2 linked regions of the Anolis sagrei genome follow. The protein of the gene in region 2 purifies or fractionates together with the protein of the main gene of each other region. This does not show direct contact. Links are inferred from orthologs where the notes say so. Each region holds a gene or a part of one and is shown on either strand. Other genes may lie near its edges.

What was found. Proteins that work in one complex are often made in the same cells at the same time.
Region 1: the proteins of DUSP4 (region 2) and MAPK14 purify together in Homo sapiens (affinity purification with mass spectrometry; 3 studies listed by BioGRID and IntAct, with this or other methods). This does not show direct contact. The link is inferred for Anolis sagrei from reciprocal best matches to the Homo sapiens genes DUSP4 and MAPK14.

What each region holds. Positions count from the first base shown.
Region 1 is NC_090024.1:186,304,342-186,311,837, reverse strand, and holds the start of MAPK14 (mitogen-activated protein kinase 14), read right to left. Parts: upstream 3,013-7,496; 5' UTR 2,554-3,012; coding exon 2,438-2,553; intron 1-2,437. UniProt on the Homo sapiens protein: Serine/threonine kinase which acts as an essential component of the MAP kinase signal transduction pathway.
Region 2 is NC_090022.1:195,039,514-195,046,589, forward strand, and holds the start of DUSP4 (dual specificity protein phosphatase 4), read right to left. Parts: upstream 3,012-7,076; 5' UTR 2,919-3,011; coding exon 2,537-2,918; intron 1-2,536. UniProt on the Homo sapiens protein: Regulates mitogenic signal transduction by dephosphorylating both Thr and Tyr residues on MAP kinases ERK1 and ERK2.

The DNA.
Region 1 (7,496 bases), on a different chromosome or scaffold from region 2:
TTTAGCCTTCTCTGCCAAAGAGTGCTGGTGCATCACCAAACTACAGATCCCAGTATTCCATATTATTGAGCAAAGGAAATTAAAGCTGTGTCAAACTTCATTAATTCTGAAGTGTAGATGCAATGTAAGATAAACATAATAAGGCTGGCCTCAATGCCTTCTGTCACGAAGACATGGAAACTTTAGTATGAGCAATATCATGCAGTAAGAGAAAGCAACAAAATTTGACCCCAATTAGCCAAAATGTTTGGAACCAAGAGTGATTGAAATTTTGGAGGATTCTGGAATTCAAAATAAGGGAAACTCAATATACATTGGGCTGGCAAAAGAACAAGAATGAAAGTCGATATAATGCCGGAGTAGCTTCTAAAATGCCAAGCCTCTTTATACCCCTTGCAATCTCAAAAAAAAAACCAACCTTGAACAATTATGAAACAACTCCTTTTTGCCAAAGGCTGCCTCCTCAGCACCAAAAGCTAGTGGGGTGCATGCAAAGACAGAACCGAAGGGGTCAAGGAGGTTTGCAGGAGAGACGCGCGAACTGCAGCAGATACTGTGACAGTGCACAATGCACCTGCGTAGAGGCGGCATCGCCAGCCAGCCAGCTTTTGCACAGGAGAGGAGCTGAATGCTGTTTGACACCAATTTAGCTGCCTTGGCTCAATGCTATGGAATGCACGATTTTGCAGATATGGCTGGACCCCCAGGATTCGACAGCATTGAGCCATGGTTAAACTGGTATCAAACTGTGCTGATTCTGCAGCGTAGATGTACTCTCAGTCAGGATGTTGAATTAATGCACTTTGTCAGTGCTTTAACTGCCATGGCTCAGTGCTATGGAATCCTATTTATTTACTTATTTATGACATTTACATGCCACCCTCCTCACCCCAAAGGGGACTCAGAGCAGCTTACAAGTTATATGTACATACAATGTATTACATCATTAGCACAGCACAATATTAGTATTACATGTTACTATATTGTATTATACCACTATGCTGTAATATTACATGTAATATGGAATATAAAATTATTATATTGTATTATTAGTATTATATTACATTGTAATATTATCAATAATATATGTATATACAATATATAATATTAGCACAGCACAATATTAGTATTATATATTACTATACTGTACTATACCACCATACTGCAGTATTACATGTAATATGAAATATAAATTATTACACTGTATTATTAGTATTATTTTGTATTACATTATAATATTATCAATAACATATGTCTATACAATATATTATATTATTGGCACAGCACAATATAGTATTAAATATTACAATATTGTACTGTATTTCTAAACTGTAATATTATTAGTAATATAAAGTATATGATAATTGGGTTGTTGTAGGTTTTTCGGGCTATATGGCCATGTTCCAGAAGCATTCTCTCCTGATGTTTTGCCTGCATCTGTATTTTGATTTTGTAAACTGATTTAATGTATTTTCAAAGGCTTTCATGGCCGGAATCACTGGGTTGTTGTAGGTATTTCGGGCTATGTCGCCATGTTCTAGAAGCATTCTCTCCTGACGTTTTGCCTGCATCTATGGCAAGCATCCTCACAGGTTGTTATTGTTATTTTGCCTGTGCTACTTGTAATTTTTACATTGTTATGTATGCGTATGTTTTATGTTAATATGATGTTATTGTTATTGTTTGCATTTTCGGTTTGTGTTTTGGTTTTTTTTTCTTTATTGTAATTGTTGTTTGGGCTTGGCCTCATGTAAGCCGCTCCGAGTCCCCATCGGGGAGATGGTGGCGAGGTATAAGTAAAGATAATTATTATTATTATTATTATTGTGAAATCTGACCTCACTACCTCTGAGGATGCTTGCCATAGATGCAGGCAAAACGTCAGGAGAGAATGCTTCTAGAACATGGCCATATAGCCCGAAAAACCTACAACAATCCAGTGATTATTATTATTTTAATGAAATAAATTACGCCAATGGCCAGAGGTCTGGAGGAGCCCAGCAGCAGCCACCAGTACTCGGGAGACTCTCCAAGCCCCCATAACCCTAAATATTATTATTATTATTATTAAACTTTATTTGTACCCCGCTAGCATATCCCGAAGGACTCGATGCGGCTTACAAAGGCCAAGGCCTCAACACACAATATAACAATACAAAACCTAAAGCAAATAATCCCAGCCATGAAAGACTTGGCCAATATATGATTTTTATATTGTATTATTACGAATATATTGTAATCCTAGGAGCCTTCAGCCATCTCTGCCAAAGAGATGCTAACTCATCGAATTAGAACTCCCAATACTCCACAGCACTGAGACAGGGCAACTGCAGGGGTGTCAAACTGCAGATGCGGCCAAGGCGGTCTGCCTTGAACGTGTGACCCTGAGGCTCTGTTAAGGAGCTCCCTCCCTTTTCGACGAAGGGTTGCCACTCACCAGACCGAGCCGTAGGCCCCGGAGCCCACCGGCGAGAGGTTCTGGTACCGCTCGGGGACCTCCCAGATGGTCTTGTTCAGCTCCTGCCGGTAGAACTTGGGCCGCTCGTGGGTCATCGCGACCCCGGGCCCGCCCCGCCCAGCGCGGCCTGGAGGGAGGGAGACCCTCGCACGGGACCCTTGGCTCCGCCCCCTTCAGAGGGGAGGGGGGAAAGGGGAGGGGTCTCTCCGTCACTCACTCACTCACACACACACACACTCTCTCTCTCTGTGCTGCGCGCGCGCCCAACCGCCGCCTCAGCTGGCCCGGACGCCTCGTGCCGCTGCAGGGGAAACACGGGGCGCCTCTTTCCTTGGGAACTGCTTTTAGGGACCCCCTCACCCCACCCCCTGCAAAAAGCCTTCCCCCCTCAGCGTAAGGAGGCTTGCGGTCGCCCTGGAAGAAGCCCGCTTCAGCCCCGCAACGACGAGGACTCGCCCGCGCCTGACTTCTCCCGACCTCCCCTTCTTCCTTAGATGCCAGAACCAATCGATCGCGGAGGTCTCGCGAGACTTCCGGGAGATGGATGGAAAAAAAAAAACTCCCAGCGAGATGCCCCAATATGGAACCTAGCTGGAGCGCTCTGGAATCCGCGGAGCAGCGGGAAGGTCTCGCGAGAGCCTGAAGGCAGCGAGAAGAAAAGGCGAAAGAAGGCGGAGCTTGAGAACAGGAAGGATGAGATTTTGTGACAGCTCCAGCTGGTCTGTCTCTCTCTCTCTCTCTCTCTACACCAGTGTTTCTCTACCTTTCTAGTCCAGGACCCCTTTAATACAGTTCCTCCTGTTGTGGTGACTCCCAATCACAAAATTATTTTGGTTGCTATTTATTTACTTACTAGCCGTCCCCTGCCACACGTTGCTGTGGCCCACATGGGGGTTGTGTGTGGGAGGTTTGGCCCAATTCTATCGTTGGTGGGGTTCAGAATGCTCTGTGATTGTAGGTGAACTATAAATCCCAGCAACTACAACTCCCAAATGTCAAGATTCTATTTCCCCCAAACTCCACCAGTGTTCACATCTGGGCATATTGAGTATTCATGTAGAGTTTGGTCCAGATCCATCATTGCTTGTGTCCACGGTGATCTCTGGATGTAGGTGAACTACAACTCCAAAAGTAGGAGCCCCCGGTGGCGCAGTGGGTTAAACCCCTATGCCGGCAGGACTGAAGACCGACAGGTCGCAGGTTCGAATCCAGGGAGAGGCGGTTGAGCTCCCTCTATCAGCTCCAGCTCCTCATGCAGGGACATGAGAGAAGCCTCCCACAAGGATGATAAAAACATCAAATCATCCAGGCGTCCCCTGGGCAACGTCCTTGCAGACAGCCAATTCTCTCACAAGAGAAGCAACTTGCTCCTGACACGACAAAAAAAAAAAACAACAACAACAAAAAAACAAAACTCCAAAACCAAAGGACACTGCCCACCAAACCCTTCCAATATTTTCTGTTGGTCATGGAGTTCTGTGTGCCAAGTTTGGTTCAATTCCATCGTTAATGTAGTTCAGAATGCTCTTTGATTATAGGTTAACTATAAATCCCAGCAACTACAACTCCCAAATGACAAAATAATATTTTTTTGAGTGATGGCCACTCCTTGTATAGTGAGACGTTTTGTTGCCAAATTTGGTGTGATTTCGTTCACTGGTTCTTTTGTTTTTAAGGTACTCATTATGCACAGAGCATTTATATATATATAGATTTCCAGTATTTCTACCCCATCCTTCTCAACCCCTGAAGGGGGACTCAGGATGACTTAAATTTGGCACAATGTGATGCCATTAAATATAACAAAGCAATATAACAACAATTAAAACATAAATAGAACATTAAATAAAACAATAAAAACAGTATTAACCACCGTATCACCATTCCAGTCAAATTCCATATCCAAAGTTGGATGGGGTTACACTCCCCCTGAAGGCACAGGTTCGGAGCTTGGGAGTGGTTCTGGATTCATTGCTGAGCCTGGAACCCCAGGTTTTGGCGGTGGCCACGTCAACTTTTGCATAGTCAAAGCTTGTGCGCCAGCTACACCCGTACCTTGGGAAGTCTGAACTGGCTATGGTCGTCCACGCTCTGGTCACATCCCGAATAGATTACTGCAACGCACTCTACATGGGGATGTCTTTGAAGACGGTTCGGAAACCACGACTTCAATTTCTTGCTAAAACACAGGAGGGATGAAGCCGATCTACCTCGTTGTGAAGCGAGTTCCACAGGCAGAGGGCTACAGCCGAGGAGGCCCTGTCTCTCATTCCTGCCAGACGTATTTGTAATGCTGGCGGGAGCGAGAGCAGGGTCTCCCCGGATGATCTTAAACTGCAAAGCAGGACATAGAGGGAGATGCGTTCAGACAAGTAAGTTGGGCCAAAACTGCATAGAGCTTAATAGGTCAAAACCAGCACTTTGAATTGAGTTTGGAAGTGTATCGGCAGCCAATGGAGCTGGCACAACAAGGGGGTGGTGTGCTCCCTGTATGTCGCTCCAGTTAGTAATCTGGCTGCAGCCCGGTGGACTAGTTGAAGTTTCCGAACAGGCTTCAAAGGCAGCCCCGTGTAGAATGTGTTGCAGTAATCAGTTCGGGATGTAACAAGAGCGTGGACAACTATTGCCAGATCAGACTTCCCAAAGTACGGGCGCAGCTGGCACACAAGCTTTAACTGTGCAAAAGCTCCCCTGGCCACCGCTGAAACCTGGGGTTCCAGGCTCAGCAATGAATCCAGGATCACTCCCAAGCTGCGAACCTGCGTCTTCAGGGGGAGTGTAACCCCATCCAACACAGGATGTAACCCTATGCCCTGTTCGGCCTTTTGACTGACCTCTGTCTTGTCAGGATTCAATTTCAATTTGTTAGCCCTCATCCAGTCCAACACAGTGGCCAAGCACTGGTTCAGTAGCTGAACAGCCTCCTTAGTAACGGGGTGGGAAGGAGTGACAGATTTGGACGTCATCTGCTACTTCATAACTGTAATGTTGCTACTGTTATGAATCGTCGTGTAAATATCTGATATGTAGGATGTATTTTCATTCACTGGACCAAATCTGGCACAAATACCCAATATGCCCAAATTTGAATACTGGTGGGGCTTGGAGGGGGGGGGGGGGGGGTTGATTTTTGCCATTTGGGAATAGTAATTGCTGGGATTTTAGTTCATCTACCAAAAAGCATTCTGAACTCCACCAACGATGGAATTGAACCAAACTTGAAACACAGAACTCGCATGACCAACAGAAAATACTGGAAGGGCTTGGTCGGCATTGACCTTGAGTTTAGGAGTTGTAGTTCAGCTACATCCAGAGAGCACTGTGGACTCAAACGTTGATAGATCTGGACCAAACTTGGTACAAATACTCAATATGCCCAAATGTGAATACTAGTGGAGTTTAGGTAAAATAGACCTTGACATTTTGGAGTTGTAGTTGCTGGGATTTATAGTTTACCTACAATCAAAGAGCATTCTGAACCCCCCCCCCCCCACATGGTCTTTCGCAGCCCCTCCAATACCCCCTCGTGATCCCCCCCAGGGGCCCCGATCCCCAGGTTGAGAAACGCTGCTCTACACTGTAGAACAGGGATGGACAAACTTTGACCTTCCTGGTGTTTAGGACTTCAACTCCCACAATTGCTTTTTTTTAATTAAATTTACATATATTAACACATTACAGTGTAAACAGAACACAAAACAATTACAAAACAATTACAAACACATAATCCCACAACCAAGGCCTGAACAAGTATAATTTCCTTTGCCACTAATTTATGAGTCAACCAGTAAACAGATGTCATATCCAAAATTCCTGACCAACAAGGTTGTAGGCTGTTAAGAATTGTGGGAGTTGAAGTCCAAAACACCTGGAGGGCCAAAGTTTGCCCATGCCTGCTATAGGAATGCGGTTTGACACCACTTTTACCTGCCCTGGCTCAATGGCACAGAATCCTGGAAGTTGTACTTTGGCAAGGCATACACACTCTTTGGCAGAGGAGGCTAAAGCTCTTGTCAAACTACAGCTCCCTGGACCCCACAGCAGTTGAAGTGGTGCCAAACTGCAATTCATTCTACAGTGTAGAAGGTGCACCCTGGGAAATCCAAGATTACATTTGTGGCTTTCCTGCCAATTCTTCAACTAGATGGTGCAACTTTCTCTCGCAGTCCTTGTGTTTATGCTAATCTCATGGGATATTATTTTTACACCTAAGAATTATGCATCTGGTATAGTCTGGCAATTTTTTTGTTGCTGTCACTCAACCAAGATGCTTTTATAAAAACAGCTTTTAAACATGAATTTTAATGTCCTTTGTTTAATCTGGGTTGTGTTTTTTTGCATTTTAATACACATTTTATAGAAATAAATTTTAATATGTATCTTTTTATAGATATACATTTTATTTTTTATTTTTTAAATATTTTTATTACTTTATCATAATTATTACATTTATTATACATTTGTTTATAGCAGTTACATATTATTCAACACCCTCTTTAACATATAATCTTTTTCTTCTGCTTAAGCATTTTCCCCCTTTTTTCCCCCCACCACTGTGCTCCCCTCCCCCCATTTCAAGCCACAACTTTTACATATCATCTGTCCAAAATCTCATTTCTTCTTGTGGCGGTAACCTTCCTTGTTTTTTAAACCATTTACAACAAATTTACCCCATACAACATCAAAATCACTTTGTTTCCATATACTTTTTTAACTTTTAATATACATGTCAGCTTATTATTTATTGCCAATTTCCATGCTTCCTTGTACCACTCCTCTATTTGTATATTTATTTCTTTTTTCCAGTTCCTTGCTATGAGCAGTCTTGCTATTGTTAATAAGTTTATCACTTCTTTATCCTCCTTGTTCAATTGTTTGTTGTTATATAGTGATAATAAGGCTATACTAGGACTTTTCTCAATTTTCATATTCATTATATCTTCTATTTCTCTAAATACTTTCTCCCAAAAATTATTTACATATTTACATTGCCACCACATATGTATGTATGTTCCTGGTTTTTGACACCCGCTCCAAC
Region 2 (7,076 bases):
TTCTCTGGGGCTAAAGCAAGCATGGGCCAACTTTCTAACTTGGGGGCCCAGAGCGGGGTGGGCTGGTTAGGGAGGGGGTTGATGATGGATGGGAGAGAAAAAGTGTATCCATGAGACACCCCCCCCCCTTTGCCAACTCCTGACATAGAATCCTAGAATCCTCAAGTTGGAAGAGACCCCCAAGGAGCACCCAGTTCAACCCCCTGCCATGCAGGATGACACAATCAAAGCACTCCCAATAGACAGCCTCTGTGAAAAGCCCCCAGAGTAGGAGACTCCACACTCCTAAGGCCGCCTATGCCGCTCTCCAGGAAGTTCTTTCTAATCTTTTCAGCTGAATCTCTTTCCCTGCCATTTGAACCCATTGCTCCCTTGTGCCTTGGTCTCTAGAGCAGCAGAAAGTTAGCCCCCCCCCCTTCCCTCAATGGGACACTCTTTGAAATCTTGAAACATGGCTCTCATGTTCCTTCCCTACCTTTTCTTCTCCCAGCTAAACATCCCCCAAAGAGGAAAGGAGGAAGGAAAAGGAGAAGGGAGGAAGGGAGGGGAGAGAGAAGGAAGGAAAGACAAAGGAAGGAAGGAAGGAAGGAAGGAAGGAAGGAAGGAAGGAAGGAAGGAAGAGAATAGAAGGAGGGAGGGGAGGGAAGAGTGAAGGAAGGAAAGAAAGACAAAAGGGAAGGCAGGAAAAAGAGGGAAGGATGGAGAAAAGAGGGAAGGAAGGATGAAAGGATGGAAAGGAGGGAAGGAGAACAAGGGAAATAAGGAAGGGAAGGAGGAGGGGAAGGGAGACAGAAGGAAGGATAGGATCCATTCAATTATGAGTCGCCAGTTGGCTGAGAAAGGCGGTACACAAATACAGTAAGTAAGTAAATAAATAAATAAATAATAGGATGGTGAGAGAGAGGAAGGCCTGAGGAAAGAGCTCAAGGGGCCGCATCAGGCCCCCGGGCCTGGTTTTCCCCTTACCTGGGCTAAAGCCAGTTGGGACCCTAAGATCAAGTCACAAGTTGCTGTGGTTTTTAACTTTGAATGTGTTTTAATGGTTTTAAACTGGGAATTTAAAAAATACTGTTTTATATTTAATCCTGTTTTATTGTTTGCATAGTTTTATATTTTAAATTGTATGCTGAGCCACTTTGAGTCTCCTACAGGAGAGATAAAGTGGGATATAGAGGAGGAGGAGGAGGAGAAGGAGGAGGAGGGTGGGTAAGATAACAGGAAGTGAGAGAAATCTACCCTTAGGAAGGGATATTCCCTCCTGAAGGAGTTACCATGGGGAAAAGGGGTCTCCCCTGAAGCTTTATCACATTCACAAGTCATTTTTTTTTTCAAAATCCAATTATCACAGAGACAGAAAACAAGACAAAAAATCTTCTGAAGAGGAGCACAGACACCAAAACAAACACCACATGGGGTATTAACCCTTCCCTATCTGATGCAAAGATTATATTTCTCATACACACACACACACACACAAAGTATTTGATATAATATATCTATATATACAAGAATGCTCTGTGCATAATGAGTACCTTAAAAACCAAAGAACCAATGAACGAAATCACACCAAATTTGGCAGCAAAACGTCTCACAACACAAGGAGTGACCATCACTCAAAAATATGATTTTGTCATTTGGGAGTTGTAGTTGCTGGGATTTACAGTTCACCTACAATCAAAGAGCATTCTGAACCCCACCGACAATAGAATTAGACCAAACCTGGCACACAGTTCTCCCACGACCAACAGAAAATACTGGAAGGGTTTGGTGGGCAGTGTCCTTTGGTTTTGGAGTTGTAGTTCACCTACATCCAGAGATCACTGTGGACTCAAACAATGATGGATCTTCACCAAACTCTACGCGAATACTCAATATGCCCAAATGTGAACACTGGTGGAGTTTGGGGAAAATAGACCTTGACATTTGGGAGTTGTGATTGCTGGGATTTATAGTTCACCTACAATCACAGAGCATTCGGAACATCACCAACGATAGAATTGGGCCAAACCTCCCATACAGAACCCCCGTGTGGGCCACAGCAACGCGTGGTAAGGGACTGCTAGTAGCTTATATATATCTTTGGCTGAAGTTACACTTAAAATGTTCTGACTTCCATACCAATGCAACTATTATATATATATATATATGTATTTGTTATAGTATCTATCTTATATATAATATGCTATATATTTGACTGAAAAACGTTCTGACTTCCATACAGATTCTGTATTTCATACATACATATATACACACAGTATTTGATATAATATATATATATATATATATATATATAATAATAATATATCTTTGGCTGGAGTCACACTTAGAAATGTACCTGTTCCCACTTCCATACAAATTGAACTACAGAAGCTATCTTGCTTGTAACTTGGGGACTGCCTGCTTGCCCATAGATTCAGAGCTGGAGGAGACCCCAGCAGCCGTCCTGTCCCTCCCACCCCATTCTGACACAACGAAGGGCACGGCCCGATCCCTCCCGACAGATGCGCGTGCGGCCGGCCTGCCTGCGCCTGCTGACCTTTGAGGAGGGCGAGTCGGGCGCGCTGGGCGTCCCTGGTGAGCGCGCGCAGGACCAGGGCCAGGGTGCTGTCCTCGCGCAGGGCCTGGGCGCGCGGGCAGCGCTCGTCGTAGAGCACCACGGCGGCGTAGAGGCCCTCGCGCAGCCCCGCGCGGGCCTCCTCCTCGGCCGGCAGGATCTGCTCCAGGCTGACGGCGCCCTTGGCCCTCCTCCGCACGATGGTGTTGCAGCGCACGTTGAGCGCCCCGCGGATGAAGCCCGCGCTGTGAGCCAGGAAGGGGCGGCAGTCCAGCAGCAGGAGGCACTTGGACCCCGAAGAAGAGTGCAGGAGGAGGCGGTGCAAGGCGCCGCACTCCATCTCGCCCAGGGGCTCCACCATCATGGCCTTAGCGCATGGCCGCCACGCAGCTGCACCAGCAACAACAACAACAGCAGCAGCAGGGGATTTAAGAATGAAGCGGCTGCGGTTCTCATGGGCGGGGCTTTTAAATCGCCCCGCCCCGCCCACCTCCCCCTTGTCCACGCCTCCATTGTGACGTCAGCGTTCCATTCACTGCCAGGGAGGCTAGGAAGGGGCGGGCCCTAGCCTCCCCTGGCAGTGAATGGAATGCTGACGTCACGATGGGGGCGTGGACAAGCAGGAGGTGGGCGGGGCCCTGTGATTAAAAAAGATCTGCGCGCGTTCATTCATAAAAAAAAGAGAGGGAAAAAGACCTTTCTTTCCTAGGTCGTTTGTTTATTTATCGTGTCAGGGGCAACTAGACAATTGTATTACATTTCTAACAGAACAAAACAGACAGACAAAACACAAAATTTGCAAGCTTGGTAGTTGATTAAATGTCCTTTGACCAGTATCTGGCCACTTGGAGTGCCTCTGGTGTTGCTGCAAGAAGGTCCTCCATTGTGCATGTGGCAGGGCTCAGGTTGCATTGCAGCAGGTGGTCAGTGGTTTGCTCTTCTCCACACTCGCATGTCGTGGATTCCACTTTGTGGCCCCATTTCTGAAGGTTGGCTCTGCATCTCGTGGTGCCAGAGGACAGTCTGTTCAACGCCTTCCAAGTCACCCAGTTTTCTGTGTGCCCAGGGGGGAGTCTCTCATTTGGTATCAGCCATTGATTGAGGTTCTGGGTTTGAGCCTGCCACTTTTGGACTCCCGCTTGCTGAGGTGTTCCAGCAAGTGTCTCTGTAGATCTTAGAAAATTATTTCTTGATTTAAGTCGTTGACGTGCTGGCTGATACCCAAACAGTGGATAGGCTGGAGATGTCACTGCCTTGGTCCTTTCAGTATTCAGTATTCCCGGCGGATGTCAGGTGGTGCAATGCCGTCTAAACGGTGTAATTTCTCCAGTGGTGTGGGTCGCAGACACCCTGTGATAATGCGGCATGTCTCATTAAGAGCCACATCCACTGTTTTAGTGTGGTGAGATGTGTACCACACTGGGCATGCATACTCAGCAGCAGAGTAGCATAGCGCAAGAGCAGATGTCTTCACTGTGTCTGGTTGTGATCCCCAGGTTGTGCCAGTCAGATTTCGTATGATATTGTTTCTAGCACCCACTTTTTGCTTGATGTTCAGGCAGTGCTTCTTGTAGGTCAGAGCATGGTCCAGAGTGACTCCCAGGTATTTGGGTGCGCTGCAATGCTCCAGTGGGATTCCTTCCCAGGTGATCCTTAGAGCTCAGGATGCTTGTCTGTTCTTAAGGTGAAAGGCACATGTCTGTGTTTTAGATGGGTTAGCGATCAGTTGGTTTTCCCTGTAATAGGCAGTAAGAGCACCTAGAGCTTCGGAGTGCTTCTGTTCAACCATCTCAAAGCTCCCTGCTTGAGCAGTAATGGCACGATCTTCAGCATAGATGAAACTCTCTGTCCCTTCTGGCAGTGGCTGGTCATTTGTGTAAATGTTGAACATGGGTGGAGCAAACATGCTCCCCTGAGGCAGGCCATTCTTCTGTTTCCGCCATCTGCTTCTCTGGCCCTGGAAGTCAACAAAAAAGCTCCTGTTTTGTAGCAGGTTTCCTATGAGACGGGTAAGGTGGCAGTCCTTTGTGATATTATACATTTTTCTCAGGAGGTCGTTTGTTGACCTGTCGTCACCTGGCTTCCCTTTTTTTCTGTGTGCATCTACGCTCTTGACTCAGTGCATTTTGACACTATTTCCACTGTCAGAGTTCAATGCTTTGGAAGGATGGGATTTTTTTAAGGTATTTTTTTCTTTTGACTGAATGAGCAAATCAATCACACATCTGGGTTGTAAATTTCTGTGCAAAAGCATTGAAGTGCTTTACTAAAAATTACAACATAGAAACACATTAACAAATTTATACAATCAGATTTAGGAAGCAGCCAGGCTTTGAAGCTGCAAGGCCATTAAATGCTAATCAACGTGCCTAATTGCAACATTCACACTTGCCTCAAACAGACAAGAGTTCTACCTGTTTGAATCTAAGGAGCCTCCGGTGGCACAGTGGGTTAAATCGCTGAGCTGCTGAACTTGCTGACCGAAAGGTTGGCAGTTCAAATCCGGGGAGCAGGATAAGCTCCCACTGTTAGCTCCAGCTTCTGCCAAGCTAGCAGTTCAAAAACATGCAAAATGTGAGTAGATGAATAAGTACCGCTCTGGCAGGAAGGTAAGGGCGCTCCATGCTGTCATGCCAGCCACATGACCTTGCAGGCGTCTATGGACAACGCCGGCTCTTCGGCTTAGAAATGCCCCCCCCCCCCAAGAGTTGAATATGACTTAATGTCAAAGGGAAACCTTTACCTTTACTTAGACAGAGAGATTTCATGACCAAGCTAAAATTAATTAAAATCTAAAATTGCTGCTTGCACTTTTGGATTGTTCCATTCTCCTAACCCCTAATATCAATGTCTTCCATTGAAGACACCCAACAATTCTGCCAATGTGGGCTTTTAAGAAAGACTGCTGTCAGGCAGAGCCCTTGTCTAGTTAACCTCAAGAGTCCAGAGGGACGGTTTGAAAACAGGCCTGACAACTCTGGTCACCGGCCAAGTTTGTATTTTGGTTTGTTTTTCCTGAAAGTGCACCTTCAACCTTGTGCAGGCAAGGCCTGATTTGTAACAGTTCCCTATTAGGAAGTCATGGGGATTGCAGAAGCTGCGGCGTGTTACTTGCTTGTACAGCCTAAATAATAATTACCTCGGGGATTTGTACTGATATTTCACAAAGCAAGGAGTTCCCTTTCCTCACCCTGTAATTATAGCGTAAGCGTCGGCGTTCCATTCACTTTCAGGGAAAGTAAAGAGAGGCGAGTGTGGGAATGCAAGTGCCCTTCACTGACAGGTTTATACATCAGATGAAACCCAACCAGAAGTGGATGCAGGCAGAGTTTTTCTGTGTCAGCTGGTACATGGGGCCAAAATGTGGCAATTACTGTGACATATATACAACCACTTAAAACACAAACAGAAATTCAGCCAATGCTTACTCATTGTCAACTTCCACCCACTTCAGTGGAGGAGACTGCTGATGTGTTGAGATCTCTTCTTCTCTCTTTCTTTGTTACCATTATATCCCTTTTCTCTGAGGCCCCTTCTATACTGCCATATAAAATCCAGATTACCTGCTTTGAGCTGGATTATATGGTAGTGTAGACTCAGGGGCAGCTCAACCCATTACGCAAAGTACGCATTTGCAGTATAGTTGATTTTGCCCAGGGGTGCTCTTGGGGGGAAATAGACCTTGACATATGCGAGTTGTAGTTACTGGGATGTATAGTTCACTTACAATCAAAGAGCATTCTGAACTCCACCAATGATGGAATTGAACCAAATATGGCACACAGAACTCCCACGACGAACAGAAAATATATATCAGTGATTGGTTGGGGGGTGCCAAAATATGTTTGCTTACCATTGAAAATTACCTAGGGCCGCCTCTGTGTAGACTCATATAATCCAGTTCAAAGGAGATAATGTGGATTATCTTATTTGATAATCTGGATTATATGGTAGTGTTGAAGGAGCCTAAAGAGTTTGGGAGTGGTGAACACTGTTGCACTCATCTCCACTTTGTCCTCGCAACAATCCTAGGAGGAAGGCCTGACCAGAATGGGAGAAAGTAGCCACCACAAAGGCCCCATCTACATTGTCCTTATAATACAGATTGAACTACATTATATGGTCAATGTAGGCCCCTTCTACACTGCATATAATCCAAATTATCAAAACATATAATCAAAACTATCTGCTTTGAAGTGGATTATGAGTCTACACTGTCATGCAGTTCAAATCAGATAATCTGGATTTTATTTGGCAGTGTAGAAGGGGCTGTATTATTATTATTATTATTATTATTATTATTATTATTATTATTTTACTGACACGAAAACACAATACGTCACAGCAAATGAGCTCTATATGCTGTATTTCGTATCACTTCCCAAGCATCTAGGACTGCGTGATGTATTTTCGAATGAGCAAGCAGATCCAAGTAAGATGGGCTTTTGCAGTTGACAGATCGTGATTTGGTCAATGTTGATTGTTTCCAAATGCCGGCTGAGATCTTTTAGCATGGTACCCA